Linked DNA regions of Callithrix jacchus. The protein of the gene in region 2 interacts with the protein of the main gene of each other region in a biochemical or structural test. Links are inferred from orthologs where the notes say so. Each region holds a gene or a part of one and is shown on either strand. Other genes may lie near its edges.

What was found.
Region 1: the proteins of UBE2D3 (region 2) and SH3RF1 form a complex in vitro, tested with the Homo sapiens proteins (2 studies listed by BioGRID). The link is inferred for Callithrix jacchus from reciprocal best matches to the Homo sapiens genes UBE2D3 and SH3RF1.
Region 3: the proteins of UBE2D3 (region 2) and RNF168 form a complex in vitro, tested with the Homo sapiens proteins (5 studies listed by BioGRID). The link is inferred for Callithrix jacchus from reciprocal best matches to the Homo sapiens genes UBE2D3 and RNF168.
Region 4: the proteins of UBE2D3 (region 2) and RNF8 form a complex in vitro, tested with the Homo sapiens proteins (4 studies listed by BioGRID). The link is inferred for Callithrix jacchus from reciprocal best matches to the Homo sapiens genes UBE2D3 and RNF8.
Region 5: the proteins of UBE2D3 (region 2) and UBA6 form a complex in vitro, tested with the Homo sapiens proteins (2 studies listed by BioGRID, with this or other methods). The link is inferred for Callithrix jacchus from reciprocal best matches to the Homo sapiens genes UBE2D3 and UBA6.
Region 6: the proteins of UBE2D3 (region 2) and RFFL form a complex in vitro, tested with the Homo sapiens proteins (5 studies listed by BioGRID). The link is inferred for Callithrix jacchus from reciprocal best matches to the Homo sapiens genes UBE2D3 and RFFL.
Region 7: the proteins of UBE2D3 (region 2) and SMURF2 form a complex in vitro, tested with the Homo sapiens proteins (12 studies listed by BioGRID). The link is inferred for Callithrix jacchus from reciprocal best matches to the Homo sapiens genes UBE2D3 and SMURF2.

What each region holds. Positions count from the first base shown.
Region 1 is NC_133504.1:22,210,991-22,215,258, reverse strand, and holds the end of SH3RF1 (E3 ubiquitin-protein ligase SH3RF1), read right to left. Parts: intron 2,913-4,268; coding exon 2,744-2,912; 3' UTR 502-2,743; downstream 1-501. UniProt on the Homo sapiens protein: Has E3 ubiquitin-protein ligase activity. In the absence of an external substrate, it can catalyze self-ubiquitination. Stimulates ubiquitination of potassium channel KCNJ1, enhancing it's dynamin-dependent and clathrin-independent endocytosis.
Region 2 is NC_133504.1:94,544,067-94,547,593, reverse strand, and holds part of UBE2D3 (ubiquitin-conjugating enzyme E2 D3), read right to left. Parts: intron 2,730-3,527; coding exon 2,652-2,729; intron 1,660-2,651; coding exon 1,554-1,659; intron 1-1,553. UniProt on the Homo sapiens protein: Accepts ubiquitin from the E1 complex and catalyzes its covalent attachment to other proteins. In vitro catalyzes 'Lys-11'-, as well as 'Lys-48'-linked polyubiquitination.
Region 3 is NC_133516.1:25,640,516-25,644,042, forward strand, and holds part of RNF168 (E3 ubiquitin-protein ligase RNF168), read left to right. Parts: intron 1-439; coding exon 440-1,387; 3' UTR 1,388-3,527. UniProt on the Homo sapiens protein: E3 ubiquitin-protein ligase required for accumulation of repair proteins to sites of DNA damage. Acts with UBE2N/UBC13 to amplify the RNF8-dependent histone ubiquitination.
Region 4 is NC_133505.1:45,694,247-45,698,299, reverse strand, and holds the start of RNF8 (E3 ubiquitin-protein ligase RNF8), read right to left. Parts: upstream 2,815-4,053; 5' UTR 2,714-2,814; coding exon 2,603-2,713; intron 1-2,602. UniProt on the Homo sapiens protein: E3 ubiquitin-protein ligase that plays a key role in DNA damage signaling via 2 distinct roles: by mediating the 'Lys-63'-linked ubiquitination of histones H2A and H2AX and promoting the recruitment of DNA repair proteins at double-strand breaks (DSBs) sites, and by catalyzing 'Lys-48'-linked ubiquitination to remove target proteins from DNA damage sites.
Region 5 is NC_133504.1:129,688,229-129,692,541, forward strand, and holds the start of UBA6 (ubiquitin-like modifier-activating enzyme 6), read left to right. Parts: upstream 1-1,486; 5' UTR 1,487-1,542; coding exon 1,543-1,613; exon of another isoform or gene 1,614-1,636; intron 1,637-4,313. UniProt on the Homo sapiens protein: Activates ubiquitin by first adenylating its C-terminal glycine residue with ATP, and thereafter linking this residue to the side chain of a cysteine residue in E1, yielding a ubiquitin-E1 thioester and free AMP.
Region 6 is NC_133506.1:99,078,716-99,082,825, forward strand, and holds the start of RFFL (E3 ubiquitin-protein ligase rififylin), read left to right. Parts: upstream 1-1,288; 5' UTR 1,289-1,462; intron 1,463-4,110.
Region 7 is NC_133506.1:89,931,635-89,935,726, forward strand, and holds the start of SMURF2 (E3 ubiquitin-protein ligase SMURF2), read right to left. Parts: upstream 2,825-4,092; 5' UTR 2,390-2,824; coding exon 2,338-2,389; intron 1-2,337. UniProt on the Homo sapiens protein: E3 ubiquitin-protein ligase which accepts ubiquitin from an E2 ubiquitin-conjugating enzyme in the form of a thioester and then directly transfers the ubiquitin to targeted substrates.

The DNA.
Region 1 (4,268 bases), about 72 Mb from region 2:
ACCTAGAATTCCTGATTTTCAATTCTGATGATAAGCAATTTGACAGTAGCCAAAAGTTAATAGAAAAATAGTTTTTAATATGACTTACATGGCCCTTTCATTTCATGGAAGATGAAAATCGTGGTGAATCTAAAGATTTTCTCCACAAGCCATGCTGAGACTTACAGGTTATCACATGGTTGGTTATAGGTCTGCTCCTTCTACGGCTAAGAAAACTTCTAGCACTAACCAGATGACTTTAGTAACCAGAAGAGGAAGAGGGAACACAAGTGCCATACACGACCTTGTGCGACTCCACAAACTCTTTTTAAGCTTCTTGGAGAAATAAACAAGGTTTGTAAGTTGCAGAGGTAAAATGTACATCATCACATTCTGGCAGACATCTTCTGTTTGAGGTGTATGCAAAGAATTTTTGTGAGGTACAAATTAGGTCAAATTTGTGTGTGTGTGTTTTTTAATTTAAAAAAGGAAAATTTTAAGGATTGACACAAGGGACACACAAAGGTTGAACATCAAATTTTAATCTTGAAACCGTTTATCCAGTCCTCAAATTATTCACATGAAAAGGAATGATAAATTGCAATTTTATCATTACCATATCACTGTGTAACAAGCCCCTGTTAAAAAATCTCCCTCTACTCTCTCCAAAAAACCAATAGAAAACCCATACATTATATTACCTAATGATCTATGAACAGATGAAATTTTAACCAACTTTATACCAGGAAATTATGAACAGAGGTACTTCACTCACATAGCTCAAAATATGGAGAAAAGACAGGTAAAAAAAATTATCTTAACCTGTAGTAGTCTTTTTCTTTTTAAAATTTTTATAAAATACACTAATTTCCCAAAATAAAGAATATTATGACACATTGGTGTCAACTTACACAGATGAAAGCTGATGCCAGCTTTTTTCCTAACTAAAGTTCATTTCACCAAACCCTTATATATTACATGAATATCCAAGTAAAGTATTTTTTAAAAATTCAACACACAGGAACATAATATACAGTGTTTTATTTTTTTAAAAAAGGTTAATTTAGGAATGATTTCATTTTCAACCATATAATGTATCTTTAAGACCATGAAACCTCTTGCCATTGCAAGAAGACTTTTCAGTTCATGTTTTAATTTCCCAGTTTTAATTCTTAAAAGAAAAAAAGATGAAAGGGTTTATTATCCATTTCCCATGAGAAAACTGTGGTAAGAATCTTACTCACTACCAGGCTGTCTTCCCTCCTTTTGTTTTCCAGACTACCCAGATCCATGACTGCGTGGCACCATAATGAAATCGGTGGGAGAGGCCAATGACATCAAAGAATGGATATAAAAAGACAGGCTCAGCTGGGTCCCGCCACAATTGTAAGGTGTGGGCACATTCGCTCTCACCAAGCCTTCCAGAGCTCCACAGTCACAGAGCAGTCTCCTGGTTAACTCATCCTTGATGTCTGTCTGCTGGGAGGACATAAAAGAGCATTTTCACTAATGACTTGGGTAGTGGCTAATGGATGCCTTAGCCAGAGAGGGAGTGAGCGCACTGAAGAGACCTGGGTCAGCAGTGGCTTTGGGGTAGAGAAGAGAACACTGTTGATTTTTACACCCCCTGAATTGGTCGATTCTGAGTACAAACTCACCTTAACAGGAAATCGCAATGAAATATACACACCATGCACAGTCTATATCACTGTGGGAATCCAGTAACACATGCAAGACATGAGGAAAGAATCACAACGGATGATTATGAACTTTTCACAGTGTTTCTTACAGCCTTTGACCTAACACTTACCACTACTATCTCACAAATGTTTCACTTGTGGCCTGGGCATGCAGATCGGTTGGGGTAAAATGGGAAATGACGCTTCATAGCCATTCTCAGACAGTGAATTCAACTTCAATTTCCCCTACTTTCCAACCAAACAATTGAGTTGCTTCTGCTATAAAACTAAACATATTTCTGAATACATTTTGTTCAAGGGCTGTGCTATGTTCTTTCTCATCATTTCAGTGATTTCGTTCTAGGAAAATTAAAAATCCATACAATTAAATTGAGGACTAGATCTTCAGGGTGATTCTAACCAAACTAGAAAGACAGGGAATCACTAACTTCTCTTCTCTCAAGTTTCTCTCTACCCCAGGCCCTAACTGATACTCATTTGTATGTCTGGTTTCCCAAAGAAGAAAACCAAATTAGAGAACGGGCATTTCTAGCTTAAAGAAGCAAAACATAACCCCAAAATATAATGGTAGCAGGGAGGAGGGGAGGGGAAGATGCATTCACTCTATGTCAAAATGAATCTCTTGCTCTCAACAGGAGATAATCCAGCTTCTCCTTAGCTATCATTTCATAAATTAATAATTTCTTAAAATCATAATCCAAAGAATGTATCTATTATAAGAAAAGTTCAAGTTTAAAAAAGCAAATAAATTAGTTAAGCCTTGTAAACAATTGTCCATTTTAGTTACATATCTTAAAAAAAAAAAAAAAAAAAGGTTTCTCTGTGTAGTAAATCAGACAGTACAAGGCACACCTTACACCTCCGAATCCAGACTGATAAAACCCACACAAACACCTTCTTCACTCTGCTGGCTGGGGGAACTGTGCTGGGGCATGGGAGTCACGCACCAATCCTTTGCCCATCTCCTGACCATCTGGAAGTCCACCAATGTGCTCTTTCCATTAAGTTGCTTTGTGCTATTTTGTCATGTGAAGTGATTTTAAGCCTTCTCAGTGTCAGTCTCCTCATATGTTTTCCACAAAGCTTCCTGGGAAGAGGCCAGTTTTCCCATTACGTTGTAATGTGCCTTTGAACCAGCCATCCTCTCGCTTTTTATGAACAAACACAATATCTCCTTCTTTAAGTTCAAGTTCTGCCTCACTCTGAGGAGGATAGGAAACCACCACCCTGTGCCTAGAAAAGAAAGAGATTTTAGTTAAGGCAATTCAAGGCAGTTATTTTAAAAAATGGTGTACTGTTAGTCTGCATGAACCTTCCACATGAATAGGACATAACATTAATTCGTTCATGATGGTAAAACAACTCAAAATGCTGCTATTTTCTGTTTCATAGAGACTCAGTACTAACAAAGACCGGCCTTGGATATGTGTGTCAGTCCACTACTGATGGCCCAGACTGGTTCATTTGAGTGACCTTTATAAGGCGAGCCATCCTTGTTCCCTCCCAGTAATTGTATCTTGGCCATAAAGGAGAGTTTCATTTCATTTCCTGGGAGGGCCATCATTTCTGTCCCTCCCTCTTCTCCAAGAAAACAGGAGTGAATTTATTTGATTGGCAAGACTGAGGGAAGTAGCTGAGCAGGGAGGTTCAGTCCTCACTGAACCACCTGGCCACAGGCTAAGGAGGCTCTGCTCCACCTCTGTGTTGTAAGCACAGAGAGGTCAGGAAAGTGAGTCTGGAAATCTCTCTCTGTGTCCCTTACACTGGGGTTTGACATGGGTGAGGCAGCAATTCTGAGGAAGGTAATCTACCCCACATACCCAAATTATCCCTTGGGAAGGCAGCCCCAAGGTCCAGATATGGAGGGGAGGGCTGTGACCACAAATTCAATCCACTACTAACAGTAATGAGGTTGATATTCTGATCTCCACTATTCTGACATTTGTGTCTACTTCTCCCTGGTTCAGAATTTGAATGTTAGTGGGAAAGGTGTCATTATTGCTTAAAAACAGCAGAAGCCTAGTTGGCTTAATATTATCTACGCCCCTGCCTCCATGCTCCTTAGCTTTCCTATGCAGAATTACAGCTTGTAGGAAACCAGAGGGAGGTGACTTGTTTTACGTTCTACATCCTTTTATCCTTTGCTATTTTTCCAGCATTCTCTCTCTCTTTTACTCCTCTCAACAAAAGGGGAAAAGAATGGTGGTGTACAGCAGCCAACCTCTAAGATGGCCCCAATGATCTTTGCTTCCTGTTATTAACACTCTTGTAGAGTCTCTTCTGATGCATAGGGATGACCTGTGTGACCAATAAAATGTCACAAAAATGACAATGGGATTTCTGAGGCTAGATCATAAAAGACATTGTGGCTTGCACTTTACTTTCTCCTGGATCAGTCACTCGGTAAAATTAGCCGCCATGTTGTGAGGACACTCAACATCTATGGGGAGGAAACACATAGTAAGGCACCAAGGCCTCTTTGCAAAGGTCTAAACTAACCAGACAACAGCGATGTGACTAAGCCACCTTAGAAGTGGATCCTTCAGCCCCAGTCGAGCATCAGCTCAGGCTGAGGTCTTCGCTACAATC
Region 2 (3,527 bases):
TCAATAAGACAAAGACAAGCTCCTGGTAAGTAAGAAGAGCTAAAAATGGAGTTTGTGACATCAAATTCACTGCTGACTAGCTATAAAAATAAAGTTTCTAAGATAGGCAACTGATGCCATATTAATCTATGTTTTAAATAGGCATAAATGATATTAGAACTTAAGGAGTTTCTTGGTACTCTGGGGGTGGGGAGAGAACTTTAGCAAGAATATGCAGGTCAACACTCATGCCATATTATTCATAGTTGTTGGGCATGAAGAAAAATCCATTCTTTGCCATTGTCTCAGGAGTTTTCTGAGAAAAACTTTGAGGTGCTCCACTAAATGTTTTATCTCCTCGAACTTGTAAGAAACGATATTCTCAAGAGTACTGGTTAAATATAATGCCAAAATCTCTTTAGTACCAAGTGAGTCATCAGCCCTAGTTCTTCCCTTAACTAGTTCAACACACTGATTTATAAGATGTCAAACATTAAGGAACATAGATCTCATTCAATCTGAGTGCCTGTTATGTGCCAGTCACCAGACATGGCGCTGTTAAGATGTAAATGCTTGAAATGTTTCTGACGAATTAAAAAAAAAGTAATAGTATAAAGACAACATCGTCACATAAATATTTGCTGACTATAGCAAATTTAATTTCAAAGTCAAATGCAGCAGAGCAAATAAAAAATTACCTAATGGAGGAGACTGGGCTATATAGTAACTCAAAGAAAAAAGGTACCTTCAGTGTTGACTCCTAGTTTAGTAAGTTAGCAAAGTATGGCTGCCAAAAAAGCAAGTTACTTTAATGACAAAACAGTATCAATTCAATCTGCCCTTACAAAAACAGTTTTCATTGTTATAGTACATTACCAGCAGTGGCAGAAAAACTTGGAAGCTGGTATTTAGGTATGGGAGCATGTTCTGAAAAAAAATTAGAAAGCATCCAAGAGGGAGAAAAAAAGGTCTAAAAACTCCACCTGGGATATTCATGAAGAGACTGGACAACCTATTAGATACAACATAACAGATGCCTATTAACAGTAGGAGACCAGAATTGATCTACAGATATTTCCAAGATTATAGTTTTAGACTGTCATTAGGTAGAAACAACCTAAAATGGTTACATAACACATGACTAAAGATTTGTCTAAAAATTAACCCAGGAAAGCAAAATCAGAATTTTTCTAGAGTGGAAACTTCAGGATTCAAAATCTTTATTAAGTTTAGGTGTATTACACCATTCTTGGTAAAAAGGCAATGAGTGTGACATGTCCAAGCAGTTTGAGATTAAAAATACAGAAGTCTATTAAGATAAATTTTGCTGTTATGAGATGAAGGTAACTCACTAGGCAAATAATGCCTACCTACCCCAATTTGAATTTTAACCTCTTCTCACAAAGTCTCTTTAATCAATACCACTAAAAGAACACAAATGATAAAAGTAACTTTATTGCTTCCCCATCTCTTACCAGAAAGTTGGAATAAAAACACTCAGATAAGTACATCTCAGAATGAAACTATTAGAAAATGAGAACAGCTTAAGATTATTTCACTGGATGTATTTTTACCTTTAGAAATTGTTAAAGCAGGCGACCACTGTGATCTTAGAATATCGAGACAAATGCTGCCATTACTGTTAATATTTGGATGATAAATTCTTGTTGTAAATGCAACCTAAAACAAAAACTTTTAGGTATTTTATTCAAATAAAAACAAACATCTTTTAAAGCAAAACTTAAAATAATCAAGCCACAATGTTAAAAATGTTATCTATTAGCAAACAAGTTCCAAATATATAGAAACTGGTTTTCACAATCTGACCACAACTCCCCTTGCCCCCAGCTCCCTCTTATTAAAACAGAAACTTAAACTTTTGGATAAAAATTTCATTACTCATATGAAGGAAAGTTCTCAAGGTTACTTTGGTCCTACTGTATCATGAATATCAAAGAGCAATTTAAAGGTATTTAACACATTCGTTTAAAAAAGCCCTAATTTTGAATGCAACCAAAATTTGTAGACCATCTCATTTAAAGTTTCAAGTTACACAGGTATGCATGAGTTTGCAATTCCACTGTACATAAAACACACCTGAATCACAAAAATGGAAACCATCACATTGCACCTGTAACATTACTACGGACTGTTAATAGTGACATGTTTATGTCCTTTGAATACTACCTTCTCTAGTTACTTATGTAGGTTGAATTTATGTTAATGACTTAAAAGTAAAGGATAATATGCTTTTAGTATCTACAAACCAATCAACTCACTGCACTAGGCAACTCGTTTTCATAAATTTAGTTATGTATATAAAACTGTAAGCATAAGTTGTAGCAATATGTGCAAATATAAACTGAAGTTGGACATTTGATGCCTACAAGACAACAAAGCCTATAATCAGAATCTATGTAATAATGGGGGTAAGCTTCCATGTGGTCTGAATCTTGCAACATTAAGGAAAAGGCACACTTTATTACCATTTACAAAGTTCAAATTGAGGTCTAGCTCTTTAAACCAAAGGTTTAGAGTCAGCATCTGTACATCAGTGCCTCAATTCAACATATATATTTAGCCTAGGCAGAACCGTAACTTCCAAGAATGCTCTATTCCTTTGAAATAAAGCATAAATCTATACTAACAGATTTTTGAGGAGAAATACTTGCCTTAGGTGGTTTGAAGGGGTAGTCTGTAGGAAAATGAATTGTCAAAAAGAATACACCGCCTTGATATGGGCTGTCATTCTGTAAAAAGAAAAGTATGCTTAACCCAAATTTAAAATATTATTGCTAAATAATCCATAACATTTGTTTCTAAGTGTTCCTCTAGTAATGAACCAAAATTACCTATTTACACTGTAATAAAGAATCTAAATTATCCCATGAAAATTAAGTCTATATTAACAGGAAAAAAAAAAAAACACCAAAAACTTACCATAGAGTAATAAATCGTAATTTAGATTCAATTTTACGTAAGTCACCAGAATGTTTTTTAAAAAGTTATCCAGAAACACAAGTATTTTAGATCTCAATTCTCACAAAGGAAAAAGTACACATAGCAATAAAGCCTACATACAGAATCATGTATCAGAATAATCTGAAAATAAACTTTTACATGTGTAGATTATTTCTTCCAACAGCCAGATGTGTACAAATGGGTTTACAACAGGCCATTCTGCCCACTGGCCAACCAAAATGTTAGCTATTCCAGGTAAGGAACACACAACTATGTTCAAGAGAACAGGGAAAAGCTTAAGTTTCTCATTTTAATCAATACCAGAAAATAGATACATTGCCCCTATTTTACGCATGATATAAATGAGGCTTTAAGAAGTAACTTAGTCTAGTATACAAATAGTAAATGACAGAACCAAGATTCAAACAAGAGTCTTTTGAAGACCACTTAATGACAAAAGATACTGATCTAGACAGGAATTTAAAGTTAAAATGTGGAATGCCTAACTGCCTCAGGATATGCAAAGAATCAATCCGAAGAAATGTTTTAAAATTTACATGAACTGGGTTATTACTAACACTCATTCT
Region 3 (3,527 bases), on a different chromosome or scaffold from region 2:
AGCCGGGTATGGTGGCACACACCTGTAGTCTCCGCCACCCGGGTTCAAGCAATTCTGAGGCAGGAGAACCACTTGAACCCGGGTAGTGGAGGTTATAGTGAGCCAAGATCACATCACTGTACTCTAGCCGGGGTGACAGAGTGAGACTCCGTCTCAAAAAACTAAACAAACAAACAAACAAACAAACACCTACTTGGGAGGCTGCGGTGGGAGAATCACTTAATCCTGGGAGGTGAAGATGGCAGTGAGCTGAGATCGTGCCACTGCACTCCAGCCTGGGTGAGAGAGCAAGACTGTCTCTAAATAAATAAACAAACCTTATTAGTAATACTGAATAATGTATACTAACAGGTCAGCAGTAGTATCAGTGTAATTAGACTTGCATCTTACGATTCGATATTTCCCCCTAGTTCATTCAGTCTTTTTCTGTTTTCTACAGGACATCGACAGTAGTGATATCAAAAGCTCAACATGGCAAGACACAGAAATAGAAGATATGCCAACACTTTCTCCACAGATATGCCTTGGAATTGGAGAAAAAGGTGCAGATTCTTCAGTGGAGTCCCCCATGCCATGGTTATGTGCCTGTGGTGCTGAATTGTACCACGAAAGAAAAGTCAAAGCAGGACCAAACAATCATGATACAACGTGTGTCTTAACTCCCGAAGGACCTGAAACCAGAGATTGTGACTCTAAAGAAACTGCAGTTGTGCCTATTGGCAGAACAGAGAGTGGGTGCACCACATCAGGGATTACACAGGCAAACAGAAACAACACAGGTGAGACAGAAAATGAGGAGTCTTGCCTACTGATCAGTAAGGATATTTCCAAAAGAAAAAACCAAGAATCTTCCTTTGAAGCAGTCAAGGATGCATGCTTTTCTGCAAAAAGAAGGAAGATGTTCCCCAGCTCTTCCTCAGATCAAGAGGAAACAGAAACAAACTTTACCCAAAAACTGATAGATTTGGAGCATCTACTGTTAGAGAGACATAAACAAGAAGAACAGGACAGGTTATTGGCATTACAACTTCAGAAGGAAGTGGACAAAGAACAAACGAAGCCAAACCGGCAAAAAGGATCCCCAGATGAGTATCACTTACGTGCTACATCCTTACCTCCAGACAAAGTGCGAAATGGACAGAGGAAGAATTCCAAAGATAGGAACTTCAAAAGGCAAACTGATACAGAACACCCAAAACCTGAGAGAGGCTCAAGGGATGAAAATAGGCAGCTGTCTGTTAGGATGCAGCTGAGGCATTCAGTTAATGGAAGAAAGACGCCAAATTCTACTAGAGATCCTTGTAATGTATCCAGAAGTGCTCATTCCCTGCAGCCAAACATTTCACAGAAAAGCATTTATCAGATGTTTCACAGATGTACAAAGTAATGCATGCCTTTAAAGGGAGTGCTTTGTAATCTAGTAAAGCTGGATTGTGAAGCTCTTTTCTATTGTAGAATCTTTATACATGTGTCATTCATGCTGCTCTCTAGGCACACTCATTGTCCTTAATGAAAGGTCTGTGTGGTTGTAAGGACAATACCTTATGCCTTGGCCAACTCGAAGAAGTCTTCAAGTGCCATTCTTTTTCCAAAAAAATGCATGTTTTTTGGTCTTTGCTCACCTTTTTGTCATGACTGGTAATCAAATCACGATTATACTATTCTAAGTAATTAAGGAACCCATGCAGGGTTTAAAACCCACATTTTCTTGGCTATTGTCCCATGTTTACAGAATACTCAAATGTATTTTCCTGAAGTAATCTGATTTCCATCTCCAATTTAATTAAATTTTCAGCATTGTAGTGATTCCTTTGGTGATTTTTTGTTTTTAAACCAAGTTTTGCTCTGTTGTCCAGGCTGCAGTGCAGTGGTGAAATCTCAGCTCACTGCAACCTCCGCCTCCCAGGTTCAAGCGATTCTCCTGCCTCAGCCTCCCGAGTAGCTGGGATCACAGGTGTGCGCCACCAGCTAAAATTTTTTGGTATTTCTAGTAGAGATGGGATTCTCTTGCACTCCTGACCTGGGGGGATCCACCTGCTTTGGCCTCCAAATGCTGGGATTACAGGCATGAGCCACCATGCCTGGCCACTTTCCTTTCGTTTAAAATGGATTCGAATCAGTGTTAAATCAGAAAATCAGGGTTTTCTTTTTTTTTGAGATGGAGTTTCGCTCTTGTAACCCAGGCTGGAGTGCAATGGCGCCATCTCGGCTCACCGCAACCTCCGCCTCCTGGGTTCAGGCAATTCTCCTGCCTCAACCTCCTGAGTAGCTGGGATTATAGGCACGCGCCACCATGCCCAGCTAATTTTTTGTGTTTTTAGTCGAGACGGGGTTTCACCATGTTGACCAGGATGGTCCCGATCTGTTGACCTTGTGATCCACCCGCCTCGACCTCCCAAAGTGCTGGGATTACAGGCTTGAGCCATGAAAATCGGGGTTTTCTAGGAAATTGAGAATTTGTTGCCAGAAAGGAAACTAGACTATGCAAAAGGAGTTAAGAGCTGGGATGAAGCTGGTTGGGGTGACTGACGGTTTGGGATCATTGCAACTGAAAGGGTGGTTAGAAACTGGTCCTGGGCGAAGCAGCAGGTGCAGTTTGGCAGTTTGCTCCCTTGTCCTTCCTTTGTGAAATGACACAGGAGACATTTGGGTTTTGTAGCTTTTCACACTATACTATCAGGTGTCAAAATAAAAATTAGTTACTAAATTGTGTGAATTTTTGGAAACCTGTATTTCTGTTCATCTGCTATTGGAGAAAAAAATGAGAATATAGGAGAGTTATATCACAGTATCTTATGTTATGGAACCTGAAACATTATCATGTATTTTCTTATATTATTTTTTTGTTTTGATGCTGCTCTTATTTGAGTTTATGAACAGAGATAGAAAATAGGATGCTTGGGGTTTGCCCTTTCTTACTCCTGAAAGTTAAATCAGAAGACACTGATTTCATTTTGTGAAATTTAGCTCAGAGACGGTTGATCTTTTGGTTTCATTAATTAGTAACGAACAGGTAGCTTTAACAGCGTTTCTACTGATACCTAGTCACCTATTCTTTTAGTGGGAAAATAGAATAAAACGTCTAGAGCTAATTTAGCTTAAATTTGCCAGTATTTTTGTATGTCATTAAGACTTTTTCCTCCAAGTTTTGTAATAGAAATTTTGTTAATCTTTGCATACTTGATGGCATCTATGTCAATTTTGATTGGTTAATTATAAATTCTGTGCTCATTTAAAACTTAATTTGCCTCTTAAGGTGATTGCTCTCTGAGTAATGATTGTAGGCAAATGAAGTATAGTTTGCAACTGTACTGTCACGTTGGTAAGTAAAAATAAACTAACCAAATGTGTCTAAAACAGACCAAGATCAGTTTTCTCACCAAATCAGTATTTCTCTAAGAGCAGTTTCACTTCATGTTTTATAGTGGACATTCTTGGAACTCCTCAAATTAAAACTTATTTAATCTGTCTGGAATAGTCTGTGACCAAAAAAGAATGGAAAAACAATGGCCTCTGGTGTGGTATAT
Region 4 (4,053 bases), on a different chromosome or scaffold from region 2:
ACATTTGTAATTCCTACTATTCCAGCTACTTCCAGCTACTTGGAAGACTGAGGCAGAAGAATCCTTGAACCCAGGAGGTGGAGGTGTGATCACACCACTGCACTCCAGCCTGGGTGATGGAATATTCTGTCAAAAAAAAAAAAAAAAAAAGCACCACAAAACAAAAAGCCCCAAACCAGTAAATATAACCATCCTTTCCCTTGGGGCAGAAAACTTCATGAAAACTAAATACAAGAGAATAAAAGGGGAGAAAGGTTCTGTTGGTTTCCTCAAAGGCAAAGATTCTTTATAGTACCTGAGAACTAGCTAATTTGCAATAAATCTCTAATTGTTTTTCCACCAAACTCCATGCATTGCTTTAACAAGCTTAAAGCCACTTATTTAGACAACCGATTTACTACAGTATTCCCATCAATGAAATGAAGGGAACTCTGTTTTATTATTTTATCTGCAACATCTGAGACTAAGAACAGGAAAGGCAGGGAACTGACCTACTTTGCTGTTACAATGTTATTAGTATACCTCCTAAAATCTTGTGCAAAACAGCTTGTCCTATGATTTGGGGACCATTACAATAACTACAACTTCTCTTGCCTTTGACTCAGATTTCTTTTCAGGCTATGCCATGACCTGACCTTGCAGGCCTCTCCTCCACACAGGTCCCTGAAGCCAGCCAGTCTTAACACTGTGTCATCATTCACTCAGTTTGTATGGGTCTCTCCCCATAGAAGTGGCCCTGACACAAAACGATCAAAATGTGTAGAATATGTCTAAGAGTGCTTTATAGTCTTCTTGCCCTTCCTGCAGGTGCTTTAATCCTTCCTCCCCATCCCACTTGCCCAAGGCTGCAGTCCTACCAAGCTATTCAGAAGTCATAAATTAATCCACAACAACGGAATCTAAAGGAGTAACACCTGCCCACTAAGTTAACTTACAAGGTTGTGTGTATGCAGGGATCACATTCAATAATGTATTAAGTAACAGTTATACATAAAAATAATTTATTTTGTGTGTACTGTTCAGGTTATTACTCAGGTGTTGGTGTTTTAATTTGTTAAACTTCTCAGAAACATATACTGTTGGAAAGGGCCAGGCAGGGAAAGGTCAGTGCTCAAGCTAAAGGAATGAATGCCTAATGTGGACTTTTGGGCACTAACACCTGGATAGAAGAGGTATTTGGGGGCAGAGGTGTTTTCTTCATGTTCCCGAAATCACGACATACAAGTAACCCTTTATAACCCTCTCTAATCTAGCAACTAAAGTTGAGCCTGAACATGAATCCCTCCCCTGACTTGAAGAACTACTGCTCTGGGATGGAACTAAATAATCCATATCTTGGCACTTGATCATACAGCCCATATACAGTTCTTAGACTGCTTCATTGTATAAATCCTCTCTCCCCACTTAAGCCTGAAACTCTTTGAGCTCACAAATTTTATGTGTTCTCATTGTACACCAATGTTATGTACTCTGTCAACACCTGGCAGACTGAATTGAGGAGTATGACTTACAGGCAAAATCTACCTGAACATACGTAAGGCTCAAAAGACTTTTTGAGTTTACAACATCACGACCAACTATCCACTTTTACTGCAAAGGGAACCTTTCATACAGATTTCCAAAACCCAAATGGTTCCCCGTCATCACCAGCTTGTCCCTGACTCAGTTTTCCTCTCAACCTGATTGCAATCTAACTCCATCCTCCCTTCCCTCGCCCTTTGAGGATGCATCATCTTCAAAGTGCATCTTGAACCGTGCCAGGAACGTGCCTCATCTTTCCCCTTTAAAAAATTTTCATTTGGAATTATATTAACAAAGGCGACAGGCATCCTCTGGAGAGAACTCGGAATCCCTGCCCGATCCCTCCTTTAGGGGTGCCACTCGGACGTACCGAGCTTCGCGGGAGAAATGCGGCCCAGCCTAAGGCGCCCCTGTTCCTCAGAGGTGGGAAGGAGGAAGACATTTCTACTTGAGAGTTTGATCACTTTAAGGGACAAAACCCAAAACTCGCATTCGTTTTCAAAGCAAACTCGAGAAAGTTCAAGCTCCGGGCAGCCCTTCCAGGCCCCGCCTCGGCTGCCCAGCGGCTCGCGGCTCCAATCCACTGTTCCCAGGCCCGGCACCGCTGGGCTCCGGGCGCCCTAAATGGGATCTGGCCAGGCCCCGCCCTCCACTCCGCTATAACACCGCTTCTCCTCACATCCTCTGCGCGTCCCTCTCCTTCCCGGCCCCGACCCCACTCCCCGCAGACCCAGGCCTCTCTGGGCTGGGCCCTCTTCTCGCCCCACCGCCCGCGGGCCAGGCCTCGTCCTCACCCCAATCCTTGTGGCCCTCCAGAGCCGAACTCTCTTCTCTTCCTTTCTCCCACTCGGTCCCTATTTCTCCCCAAATACCTCCCACCTTAGACCCTTCAGCCGCTCGAGCCAGAACCGCTCCCTCCCTTCTCTCCCCAGGATCCACCCCCCCCATCCCCTCGTTCGTCTTCTGTGTGCCTGCCTCCTCTCTGCCATTCATTCCGCCCACCTAGACGCCTTCCTCCTTCTCCGGAGCCCCGCTCCCTCCAGCCCCTGCCCTCCGCCCCACAGGACGCCTTCCCTTGTACCTCACACCCATCTTCCAGTAGCAGCCACCCGGCGCTCATCCCCACCCGCCGCAGGCACCAGCTCCGACCACCGGCGCGGTTTCCCGTGACCAAGAAGCCAGGCTCCCCCATCGTCTACTCGACCCCGGGGGCGGTCAGCACGGAACTAGACCCCGACCCGGGTTCCTGCAGCCTCGCAGCAACCAGGCAGCTTCCATAGCTAAACAACAGACAGAAGCAATCGCCACGCGCTCACATCGATGCGAATACAAGCTCCGCCTGCCCGCCGTCGACCCGGAAGCAGGAGCACTGCACCTGCGCGAGAGGAAGGCAGCCGCCCCGGGGCGGAGAGGGTTGGCTGGTAGCGGATCTCGACTCCTGCGGGGCGGGCGCGGCTCGAGGGCTCTCCTCGTCACGTGACACCTTCTTTTGCCAGCTCCCAAACCATCACCTAGTCCTAGCCGCCCCAGACTGGAACCTCTCCTCACCTTTCCTCTTTTTTAAAAAAATCATGTAAAACTATAGCCCACTTTTAAACAACTTTAAACTTTCCATCAGTTTTAAGTCCGCTTAGCCTGTTCCTAAATAGCTTCTATTTTGCACGACCTCCTCATATTGCCGAAGCAAAAAATAAATTACACTAGGCAAATCTACAAAGACAGAAAGCACAGTTACTTGGGGCGAGGTGTGGGAGCGGGGATTAATGCAGATGGGGTTGGAGAAATGGAAGGAAAGCAGTAATAGAAATGTTCTAAAAGTGGATTGTGGTGACAGTTGCACAAGTGTATAAATTAATTTATTAAAAAGTCATGGAAGTGCTGTAATCCCAGCACTTTGGGAGGCTGAGAGGGGCGGATCGCTTGAGCTCAGGAGTTCCAGACCAACCAGGCCAACCTGGGGAGACCCCGTCTCAAAAAAGAGGGGGGAGGGGAGAGGAGGGGAGGGAGACAAGGGGACCCGGAACGTCTGGGAGGGGAGCGGAGGGGAGGGGAAGAGGCCAGGAACGGAGGGAAGGTGAAGGGAGGGGAGAGGCGGGAACAGAGGGAAAGGGAGGAGAGGGTAGAGGGGCGGGAACGAAGGAAAGGGGAGGAGAGAGGAGAGGAGGAGGAACGGAGGGAAGGGGAGGGGAGGGGGCCAGGAAGGTAGGTGGGAGTCAAAGCTGCACTCATGGAAATGCTTCCCTAAGCTGTGCATAGGTATCTGTTGGTGGCCCCACCCCACCTTGGCATTCTATCCCAGGAACAGCAAGCACACCTGGAAACCACTGTGACATTTAGTCTGTGTGTCTCCTTAGACTCCTCTTGGCTGTGATAGATTGTCAGTCTTTCCTTGTTTTGATGACCTCGACAATTTGAGGGGTACTAGAGAGATATTTGTATAATGTCCCTCAGTTGGGATTTGTCTGATGTTTTTCTTGTGATGAGACTGGGGTTATGGATTTGGAGGAGGAAGACCACAGAGGTAAAGTGTCA
Region 5 (4,313 bases), about 35 Mb from region 2:
ATTCAACAAATATTTAGGAAAAAAATAAATACAGAAGGGAAATCAGAGGGAGAGAAACAAAGAAACTGACAATATCTGTAGGGTGGGATAGCGAAAGATATTTATATGTATTAATTTTAAAATAAAGAGAAAAGACAGGGAATAAACTTAGTGCTGGAGCAGAACCTTGAAAGAATAGAGCATAGATCAAGTACATTTTAATGTGGGAAAGGTTCACAGCCGGATTGAGAACATGGACAATGCTACAGGTGAGTAACATTAAGCTTCCAGGTATTTTAAGATGTGCAATTTTGAAGAGAATAGAGGAGCACAAAGGATAATACAGTTTTGCCTGGACCCTCATCTCCACATAAGAGAGGAAAAATTTCTAATTAAAAATATGATACATCACAGAAAATTATATAATACCCAAAGTCAAAGTATAGGCTACCTTTAAAAATCCTGCAGATGTTTATTCAAATATATACTGTTATTTAAAGTGAAAGACAAATCCTAATGTTATTGTGTCCAACTAATTGTTGCTTTCTAAGAAAGGTGACACGGAAGTAAATGGAAAGAATTATATGAGAACTCCTTAGATATGTTCTGGTAATCTAACAGTGATTAGCTCTATGACCTTGACCAAGACACTTGCACTGACCGGAAGTTCCTTTCTCTTACCAACAAATTGAAGGGACCAAACTGGAATGACCTAATGTCATTTATGGCACTAAAAATCACATGATTCTATTAAATCTGAGGCAGTGCCTCAAACGTAGTGGACTCCCAAAATTATTATTACTTTTTTTTTTGAGATGGCGTTTTGGTCTTTTTGCCCAGGTTGGAGTGCAATGATGTGATCTTGGCTCACTGCAACCTCTGCCTCCCAGGTTCAAGCGATTCTCCTGCCTCAGCCTACCGAGTAGCTGTGATTGTAGGCATGCACCACGCCCAACTAATTTTGTACTTTTTTTTTTAGTAGAGACAGGGTTTCTCCATGCTGGTCAGGATGGTCTCGAACTCCCGACCTCAGGTGATTCGGCCTCCCTCCCAAAGTGTTGGGATTACAGGCGTGCGCCACCGCGCCCGTCCCTCAAATCATCTATTAAATACATAATATCTTGAAGTGGTGTCCCTCACTGACAATCTGGAGCTATTACTAGCCTTCAGTTTATTTATCAAATGAAGCTGTTTCCTCTTCTTACTGTAAGACTCTTTTAAGGATTTGCAACGCAATCCCATCATTTCGCGAGTTACTAAAGCCTTGCTTGTTTGGCTGCAGAGCAAGGGTGACGACTAACTTCTGGACTTCGGTTCCATCTTCATCTGCCGGATGCCAGTCCCAACAGTAACGCCCACTTCGGCCACCTCCACCACAGCACATCATGCGGCCACACCCAAACCGGAAATCAGGACGCCCCAAGGGTTGACGGGAAAGTGCTGCCGGGATCCTTGCTTCCCCAGGCCCGCCCTCTCTGATGACGTCTCTGCCCGCCCCTTGACCCCCGCGGTCCCGCCCCCTTTCCTACCTCCTGGTAGCCGGCGGCGGAGTCTCAGGCGACTATGGAAAGATCCGAGACGGTGGCCGCCTCTCCTAGGGAAGAGGCGACCTGCTCTTCCTGGGGGACTGGCAGGTGAGAGGACGAGGCGGGCGAAGGTGAGGGTTCGCAGGTGGGACCCAAGCTCAGGGTTTCTGCTTCTTTCTCTCCGGCGGGCCGGGGGCGCCCGAGAGGCCGCGAGGCCGAGCAGAGCCGGCTTGGGGAGGTGAGGGGCGCGCGCGGAGTGGGTGTGGCGACGTGAGCTAGGGCCTCCGCTGTTCCCGGCTTTCCAGAGGAGAAAGTCCCCTTCCCGCACCTCACAGGTGCGCTTTCTCAGTTCTGGCTGGGATTCAGGATCCTTCTTCCTCCCATTCACCAGACTTGCGGGGCTCCTGCTGAGAGCGAGTTCTGGTCCCGGTCACTTGGCGTGAGCTTCCCCGACTGGTGCCAAGCACCTTTCCTCCTTTCCGTAAAAAGAAAGCTGGGAGCGCCTCTGTGTACCTCCACTGAGATCCTCTTTTGAAAACTATTACCAGAAGGAACTTAGTAAGAACGAATCAGTAGCAATCTGGACACCCCGAGGCCTCTGTTGACTACGGAAGAAAAAAAGAGGCCAGGAAAAAAATATACAAGTTACCCATTCTTATTTCCCACTTGGTTTTGAAATTCTTTGGGTCTTTCCCGCCCCTGTAAAATTAGGGGAAAATGTGCCAGGCCTTTACCAGATTCTTGGTTAGTAATTCCTCTGTAAGTCATCTCATAATTAATAAAGCAAGTAATGATATCCTGTCCACCACTGTCAGAATACACCATGCCAAGATAGAAATGATGGATGTATTATTTTCAGCTGATGTGAGACTTTGTAAACCTGTAGCTTTTTCGCCAGTTTCAGACTGCAGGGATGCTTTCAGTTTCATGGTATTGTCTGCCATTGCCAACACTGCCAGACTTGTGGTATATTATGTAATATAACCCGCGTCTTATTTGAAACGTTTTGATTGTCTTATAGATCATGTTATTTTTACATATTCTTGAAATATTCCAGTGAGGCACAACTTTCTGAAAAGTGCCAGTCATGCCATTAAGTGGCAGAGCTAATTACAATGTAGCTCTTCTCGTTTTTATTCAGATTTACTCACAGGCCTATTGCCCCCCTTCCCCAAGCAAGGAAAACAGCAAGTGAAAGTGTAGTAGGGTAAGATGATAGGAAAGTAGATAATAACAAATTTTGTTGGCCGGGCTCAGTTACTGACGCCTGCAATCCCAGCGCATTGGGAAGCTGAAGCGGCCGGATCGCTTGAGCTCAGGAGTTCTAGACTAGCCTGGGCAGCATGGCGAAACCTCATCTCCACAAAATATAAAAAAATTATCTGGATGTGTTGGTGCGTGCCTGTAGTCCCAGCTACTCGGAGGCTAAGATGGGCATATCGCTTGAGTCTGGAGAGGTCGAGGCTGCAGTGAGCCGAGATCGTTCCACTAGTCGGAGTGACAGATATCCTGTCTCAAAAAAAAAGAAACCAATTTTGTTTATTTTTATATTTTGTTACAATGCCCAAAATGTGTATGCGTGTATGTGTGTGTTTTTTATTAGATAGCTGATCTTTTAGAACACAGCTATCTTCTGATTTGCCTTGGTAATTGCAATCAATTTTTGTACTAGCTATTCGTTTAATTAGCTAAAAGCTGATATCATTTGATACGTGTCAGTGTTTGGTGAGTTAAATGATAACGTTTTAATTACCTTTGTTTACAAATTCTTGGCTTATTTATTAATGCTAGGACTAGAAAGTTGGATTCCAAATCTGAATTTCATTTAGAATCCTTTAATTGACAATAAGAGCTTCTCAGAACTAGGAATGGCCTGCACTTCTGCCAGTATATTGATCTCAGCTCTCACAGTGCTTCAGCTCCAAATGCCCCAGACTGGTTGGCCATACCTGGGAATTATCTCTGCTTCCCTGTGTTTCCTACTGATAACCTTTTGAAGGCCATGCTGTGAAATAATTGAGACCAGCACTGCTGTAAATGTTACTATAATAAGTATACTTTGTCAGGTTTGTTATATTTAGATTATTTTTTTCTTTTAAAATATATTCATTTAACAGTTTTTTGGGGTTTTTTTGCTTTTTTTTTTTTGTTTTCTGAGGCGGAGTCTTGTTCTTTTTGCCCAGACAGGTATGCAGTGGTGTGATCCTGGCTCACTGCAACTTCCACCTCCTAGGTTCAAGTAATTCTCCCGCCTCAGCCTCCAGAGTAGCTGGGATTACAGGCACCTGCCAGCACTTCTGGCTAATTTTTTGTGTTTTTAGTAGAGACAGGGTTTTACCATGTTGGCCAGGTTGGTCTCAAACTCCTGACCTTAGGTAGTCACCCGCTTCGGCCTCCCAAAGTGCTGGGATTACAGGCGTGAGCCACCGCACCTGGCCCATTTAACAGGTTTTTTTAAAGTGCTTTTTTTAATGTCTACTATCAGAGGCAGTAGGCAGCATGTGTGGTAGTCAAGAGCTAGACTGCCTGGATTCAGATCCTGGCAGTGCCATTTGCCTGCTCTGTGATTTTGGGCAAATTTTAAGTGAACCTCTCTCAGCCTCTTTTTTGCCATCTGTTCATTGGAGATAGCAATAGTGCCTGCCCACTGTTTGGACAAGGTTGTTATTGTAAGGGTTACCTGAATTAGTACATCTAAAGCACTTAAAACAGTGTGTAGCACAGGGTTATCTATCATTATTAAATGCCTGGTATTATTTATGTATTTGGAATAGAGTGGTGAGCTTTTAACAGACCGTACATTTTCTG
Region 6 (4,110 bases), on a different chromosome or scaffold from region 2:
ACAAATTGCTCAGAAAAACTCTGGGATTTCTCAATAGAATCTAAAGCCTAAGAAAATTGTCACTAGACCTCAGTTAAAAGAAAGATTAGAGGCCAGGCGCAGTGGCTCACTCCTGTAATCCCAGCACTTTGGGAGGCAGAGGCGGGTGAGTCAGGAGTTCGAGACTAGCCTGGCCAATACGGCGAAACCCCATCTCTACTAAAATACAAACATTATCTGGGTGTGGTGGCGCGCGCCGATAGTCCCAGCTATTCGGGCGGCTGAGGCAGGAGAATCGCTTGAACCTGGGAGGCGGAGGTTGCAGTGAGCCGAGATCGCGCCACTGCACTCCAGCCTGAGAGACAGAGCGCGACTCCGTTTGAAAAAAAAAAAAGGATTAGAAATGAATATTATGTTAATAACTAGGCATTGTGCCCCACGCTGGCTAACCATCCCCCGGGCCGCCCTGCTGCTGGGCGGTTTACTAAGCACAGCTACATGCATTCGTTCACTAAATCCTCACGCCAACCTGCGTTTCTGGGATGAGAAAACCAAAGTTCCTTAAGGTGAAATACGTTGCTAAAAGGTGCAAGGGGGAAAGGTGTGGATTCTTGCTGAGTCATTATCATTCTACCACAGCCTTCCTCAGCAGTTTCCTCATCTTCCTGAGGGGAAGTAGCTAGTCCTAGGGGTTTAGACTGGAAAGTGCTAGAGTGAGTGGGACAAACGTGGGTTTTTAGGTTCAACAGACCCGGCCTCTAATAACTCCCAGCTGTGGGACCCTGAATAAGTTCGTGACCCCCAGTGGGGCTGGGTTTCTGCAATGATAAAGTGGGGAAAACCATCGCCTGCTCATAGACTGATGAGAGAGGCAATGAGACATGAAAGCCACCTTTCAAAGTTTTATTATGAAATGAGTTCGGCGATGTTAAGGGACTCGATCAAGGTCACCAAGCCGAGTCTTGACCCAGGTAACCTTGGACCTGGACCCTTGGGCGCCTCTAGCAGAGTTGTGTGATCAAAGTAACCAGCAGTCCACAACCTGACTTCGGGGAAACGACGCCTCCTATAGGTCCCAAGGCTCCGGCCGCCCCGGCCCCCACCTCCGGGAGCCTCAGCTCCGCCAGGGGGCGCGCGCGCGGAGGCCGCACTCGAGGCCGCCGCGCGCCTCGCTCTTCTCTATGGTGACTCGGGCGCGGCGGGAGCGGAGGCGCGCTCCCGAGAGTGGGCGGGGCCAAGCCAGGGGCGGGGCCGTGCGAGGGGCGGGAGCGGCCGGGCCAGGCCGGCTGAGAATGGGTGGGGGGGGGCCGACTTCCTGGGGCCGCCCGTGAGGATGTCGCGACCGCCCCCGGGTGCCCCTCAGCCCCAGAGACGCCGCCGCGGCGGAGTCCGCAGCCTCCCTGCCTGAGGCATCCGTAGCCGGTATCCAGCCCCTCCCCTCGCCTCCCCTCCCAGGTGCTGGCCCGGCCGGCGGCCGCAGCAGGTGAGGAGGCGGCGGCGGCAGCGCTGGGGGCCGTGGGGCGCCCGGCCTGGGGAATGACGGGAAGGGGGGCGCTCGGGTGCCGCCAGGCTGTGGTCTGGGGGCTCCTTCTCTGTGTGGGGCGCGGCCTGGGACTCTCCCTGCCCTACAGGGGTGAGGGGAAAGCCCCTTCCTTGCTGGAAGTCTCCGCCTTGAGGGCAGCCCACACCTGTCCTTTGAAAAGTCCTCTCAAAGAAAGCGTTTCACCTGTGGGGTCAGTAACGGGAGACGTGCGTCCTCCACTATCCCCAAGCGCCCTACAGACCGGCAGGTCTAGTTGGCCTGTGGGGAAAAGATAGAAGCCTCTTTGTACGGCAGAGGAAACTGAGGCAGGTCTGCGGCGGCCTGCTCACCCCTTTAAAGGAACCAGCCGGTCCCTACCTCCCTCTTAGACGGAGGCGGCTGGAGGAGGGAGGTTTGGAGTTTGGAGGTTGGATGGAGAAGTTTGGGAATGCGGCTCTACCCCCAGGGTCCACTGTTCCCTCGCTTGGGAGTTGTCCTCTGTTCGCGATGTGTGTGAGATCGCTACTGTGCGATCAAGACCGAGAGGGAAATGGGGCCTCTCTTCAGCCGGCTGCCCAGGAGACATTCGACCAGACATGGGGAAGTCTGGCGAGACCAGGGAGCCAGAGCCTCCGCTGGCATGTCTGCTCATGAATTCAGGCTGGCAGAAGAGACAAACAACAGCGTATTTTCTCCTTTTTGTTGGTCTGTCATTTGTTCTTGGGGGGAAAAAAACTGCTTGTGTAATCAAGAGTGCACCGTTGCACTCCCTAGTCTACCATAAGGAAAGATTATTGTTAGCTTGGAAATAGGGTTTTACCCACAACTGTCACTTTGCTCCCTGGTTAAAGGCCAGAGTGACGTGATGAGCTAACATCCCAGGGTGCCTGTGGCCTTCTAAGAAAGCAGTAAGTTCCTTATGCATCCCTTTGATTATTGGTTTGGAGGCAGAGAGACTTCCTGTTACCACTGTCACTGCAACTGTTAGGGGTGCCTAATCATTCTCCCAGTGACAGTTCAATTTACTCAAATGTGGGCTGGGCTGCCCATTTATTATACCATTCTTCTAGGAATGAGAGTAGGCAGGGGACAGGGCACTGGGCTGAATTTGTGTAGAGTTCTAGGGCTGCAGCCTAGCCGTGACAGTTCTTTCTGTTCAGGGGATTTCAGGTTTGACAGCTTCTCTATCCTTTTCCCTGATTGCATTCTCTTTCACATTCAAGGAAATAGATGATGGCAAGGGTTTCTGAACTTTTATTGTACATTTACTGATTCTGAATTTTAGAGTACAATTCATAAGTTACAGTTTGTTTAGAGGTATTCTTAAGTTTGAAAATTCTTGGGTATTGTGCATAACAATTGCAGATGGATGTGGCAGGGCTAACTAATATCTTGCTGGTGATTGAAGAAAATGTTCATGTAATCTAGGACACACTTATTATAATATCCATCTAATTACAAAGACCGGCCCATTAAAAACTTTTATATTGGTGAGGTAGACAGTTGTGATATCTTGTTTACATTGGGATCAAGGGTTGTAAATACTCTAAATCGACCAGTTTAACCAACTGCCAAAATAACATGCACAAAAAGAGAAAGCTCTTCTCAGAAACCATAAAAATTGGTTTATTTCATGCCTTCTCTCACGACCAAGCCAGTTGACATAACTCTGCTTAGTACCATCTAATAGGAACACCTTTTTTTTTTTTTTCCTTTGGAAACAGTCTCACTGTCACCCAGGCTGGAGACAGGGTTTTGCCGTGTTGCCCAATCTGGTCTCAAACTCCTTCAGCTCAAGCCATCTGCTGGCCTCCACCTCCCAAAGTGCTAGGATTATGGGTGTGAGCCACTGTACCCAGTGGCATAATCATGGCGACCTCCTAGGCTTAGGTGACTCTCCCTTCTCAGCCTCCGGAGTAGCTGGGAATTCAGGCAGGCACGACCACGCCCAGCTAGTTTTTCTATTTTTTGCAGAGGTGAGGTTTTGCCATGTTGTTGGTCATGAACTGGGCTCAAGCGATCCTCCTGCCTTGGCTTCCCAAAGTGGTGGGATTATAATTGTAAGCTACCTCCTGGGCTGGAACACTTCTTAAGGGTAGTGGAAAAGGCATTTTCAGTGACCAGCATTTAAGAAGACAAAACAAACAGCAACAATAACAAAAAGGGGCACAATTTCTTTTCTAATTACATGAGCATTGTGATTTAAATATAGTCACACCCATCTCTATGAGTGTCATGCCTAAGACTTTCTAAAAACATCTCCGTAAACCTAAGAACTCGTTAGGGGGACTAATTCCACCTTGAATTTTTATTCTTGACATAGAACTTTTAATACTGCCATTGTTTTAATGATGGAGACTTTTATACCAAACTTGTACTAGCCATAGTGTTTATGTTTTTGAAGGAAAGATTTAACCTCTATACCTTAGAATCTCATAACTTGTTAATACAGGAACAGCGTTAAGGTGTTAGAGTTTATGAGAACACATAGTTTAAATTGTTACTGGTGAAGTCTCAAGCAAGGAGCTGCTTCATTATTATTGTTGTTTCTTTTTTTCTTCTATTTTTTTTTATTGAGGTCCTCACTCATTTTTTTCTTTTTTCTTTTT
Region 7 (4,092 bases), on a different chromosome or scaffold from region 2:
GGTATGCCAAACATTTCTTAAGGTCTTAACAAAGAATCAACCTTCTTTTTTTTTTTTAAACAAAATGAGGCCTAGGTTAAATATTTTATTTGGCTTCTCAAGATGGATTGAGAAGTTGGGCACCAGCTCCAGACCAATTCCTGGACGCACATCAAACACAGTCCTGTCATTTATCCAGTCAGTCAAAACAATCTTTTCCATCTAACCCTTTAATGTTTATGTCCTAAAAAGCTGCTAATTGAATCCAGCTCTTGAGATCTATTTGCTAAAATCTATACCATCTAATTTGTAAATGCTGAACAAAAATGAAAAAAAAAGTTAACTTTCCTAGCAAAACAGAAGAGACTCCACTGTAACCAAAGAAGGAAGGACAATGTTTTTAATATTTGTCAAATTTTAAGAGAAAACTATTCAGAGACAAATAGTTGTAAGAAACTCAGAGCACCTCAAACTGCTTTTACTATTAAGAGGACACAGCGAATTTAAAATTCCTCAGAAAAACCTGAAACAAAATCACTCTCTAAATGTACTTCACTATTTATTCCTTCTTCCCCTGAAATATAAGCATAATCTTTCCTCTTAGCAAACTTCACTTATAAATTTTTATAATGTATCTTAGGCAGTGGGGAAACCACAGATAAACACTTTAAGATCTATTGAGTCATATTAAAAACCTCAACTCATCTATCTGCAGAAAATCAAAATCCCTATTTTTTTCCCCTAGTTTTCTCTACATAGCCTAGAGAGAAGTAAATGGCAACAGCCTATTTCTGACGTTTTCTGCATACCTGGGATCACATGTTCTTTCCACGATCATTGACGCCAGATAGCAACAGCAAGAGATAAAACTCTAAAGCAACAAAGATCCCCCTAAAGGTTTCCACTGACTCCTACCAATATAAGGACATTGAATGCGGGCGGGTAGGGGGAATCCAAGTATCTTCCAATCCAGGTTTTCCATTAAGAACCACTTGGTTAATGATTCCCTGCCAATTTTCTCCAGGGAAAGCAAAACTGTCTTGAAGGTAAAATATTATTTAAATTACAGCCAACATACATTCAAGCTAAATTCTCAAATACCAAATTCACTGCAAGTTTTCATCTAGCAAGTCCAGCCTGCGGACTGGGATGACACATAGAAGCATTCAACTACAAAATTAGTTCAAATAAATCTCAAAGTCTAGTGTGGGCAAACATAATTACAGTTTATTCGTACACGTGCACGCACACACAAATCCTCTACGGAAAATTATCTTTCTCGCCACTCATCTGAATATAAACGTAAACAATTTATCAGGAGTAAATGGTGAAGGAAGGATAACGCCATGATCTCAATTACTTTTCAAACCAAATACAAGTTTTCCTAAAATGGGGGTGGCATGTCCATGTAAGAATACCAAAAATGGTACTGTAAGCAAAACGTACCTGTAATGTTAAAGATTTCATGCACCTGAAATTATAAACACTTTGTAAGTGTAGTACCCCTCCGGACATTCCTTTCCATTTAGAAAAAAAGGGGGAGGGTGTGGAGAGTAAGAACAAGTTCGCTCTAAAGTTTGTATGAGCACACACTTAGAAATGTATCCTCTCCCCCGCCCCCCAAAAAACCGTGTTTTTAAAGCAGGTCTGGAGTTAAAAGTGGGACACAAGTTCTGCGGCCTACAAGGAACAACCCCAAACATGCCACCTACAATCCAGACACTTCCAAAACACAATGTACAATGAGCCCGAGCCATCGGATCAGACTGGCACACCGGAAAAGTCAACCTCAGTCTCCTCTCCTCAGAGAGAAGTGAGTTGAAGGTGTGTGGCCCCAGCAGCGGTGGCCGGCGGCGGGGAGTAAAGGTTTTGCACGCGGGCATAAGTGGGTGTGCAAGTTAACCCGGGAACACACACGCACACCCTCCCGTTAAGCGTTCCGTCTTTACGGAGTGTTTACTACGCGCAGTCAGCAACCGGATTCAATAATCCTCGCCACCGGAGCTCTTCATCCCCTTCAAGAGCCCACCTGGGCGGCAGCCCACGAGCCCCGGGAAGCAGCGTCCCGCTCCTCGACCAAGACCTTTCGACCTAAAATCCTCCTGCGACGCGAACCGGTGTATCCCCCTTCCACAAAAGACCACCCCCCCGCCACCCCGAGTCATCCTCGGCTTTTTACAGAATGTCCAAACCGGAGCAAGTGGTTTTCCTATTACTCTCCCTGAACTAGGCCTTCCCACTCCTCCGACCCCCAACTCACCATTGATCGCGACCCTGGCCCTTCCCAAGGCCACAGGCACCCCCCGCCAGCTCGCCCACCCCGCCGCTGCCCGACCCGGCCCGCCGCCCCCCCCTCACCTGTCAGGCGCAGCTTGACGGGCCCGTTCCTCCGGCCTCCGGGGTTAGACATGTCCCCGGCGGCGGGGGCGAAGGGGCGGCGGGCGGGACAGGGACCAGGGACGGGGCGACGGCGAGACGCGGCGGAGTCACAACAGCGGCCGGGGCTGGGGCCCGAGCAGCCGGCGCCGCGGCCGCCGCGGCCGGAGGGTCCCGGATGTGCCGAGCGTCGTCGCCATGAGCCGCGGAGGGAGCGGGACGCCGAGCTCCCCCCTCCTCCCACTTCTTCCTCGGCCCGGGCCGCACAACAAAGCGGCAGCCGCGGCAGCCCGCGCCGCCTCTGCCTGCACCCCCGCCGCCTCCGCACGGCCGCCGCGGCCTTTCACTCCTCTTGTCTAGGCGAGGCCCAGTAGACGACGGGGCTGGTCGGCTAAGGCGGGCGGTGCTCCGCGGCGCCGGAGCAGGACTTTGGGCTCGGCCGCTTCCTCCTCCACCCGCCCTCTTGTCTGAGGGACCCGGGACCTGAGGCCGCCGCCGCCACTCGTCGGCTCCGGGGGGCGGGGAGGAGACGAGAGGCGGGGCTGGCGGGGCGGAGCAGGGCCGGGGCGGGACCGGCGGGCGCGCGCAGGGTGCCCGGGGCGCGGGGAGGGCGGGGCGAGCTCGGCTCAGACCCCAGCCGTCTGGGAGGTCGTGTGCTGCTGCCGAGGGTCCCACGCGGAACGCGGGGAGGGAGCGGGCAGGGAGCAAAGTGACGCGGGGGCGGCAGGTCTGTGGCACCTGGAGGGACTTGGTGTCCGGTCCTTTTCGGGAGAGCTTTTGTCCAAGCACGGCCGACTGTGCGCGGGGCGCTCGGAGAGGCTGGGGCGAGCAAATTTAGAACCGAGTCCGCTGCCCGCCGGGAACTTGGAGTCTTCCGGGCAAGGGAAGAGACTGCATTCCCACGCCAAGGGTTCCAGCAAAGCCCCAGGTGTGCTCTGCTCCTGATCTTGTAGTTGACGCCTCCATCCGGGACTCACCTGGTGGAGGAGATCGGGTTACCTGCCGACTCTGGCTCTTTTCAGGTGCAGCCAAGGATAGGGAGATGATATTGACGTCTTAAAGGATTAACAAGATAAACCGCTCAAGCCTGTAATCCCAGCACTTTGGGAGGCCGAGGCGGGTGGATCACGAGGTCAAGAGATCGAGACCATATCCTGGTCAACATGGTGAAACCCCGTCTCTACTAAAAATACAAAAAATTAGCTGGGCACGGTGGCGCGTGCCTGTAATCCCAGCTACTCAGGAGGCTGAAGCAGGAGAATTGCCTGAACCCAGGAGGCGGAGGTTGCGGTGAGCCGAGATCGCGCCATTGCACTACAGCCTGGGTGAACAGAGCGAAACTCCGTCTCAAAAAAAAAAAAAAAAACAAGATAAACCTTGGAGAGTAATGTATGAAGAGTTGTTCATACACTATTCTATGTCGTTATCTCAGGAGGAAAAGTTTTTTTTAAATGTGTACCTTATCCTTTGACCTTGTAACTGTACTGCTAGGATTTTTTTTTCAGACAGGGCCTCCCTCTGTCGCCCAGACTGGAGTGCCTTGGTGCGATTATGGCTCACTGAAGTCTCGGCTTCCCGGGCTCAAGTGATCCTCCCACCTGAGCCTCTGGGATCACAAGTGTGCGCCACGACGCTCCACTAATTTTTTTGTTTTGTTTCTTGAAGTCTCTGTCACCGAAGCTGGAGTGCAGTGACGCGATCTCGGCTCACTGCAACCTCAGCCTCCGGGGTTCAAGA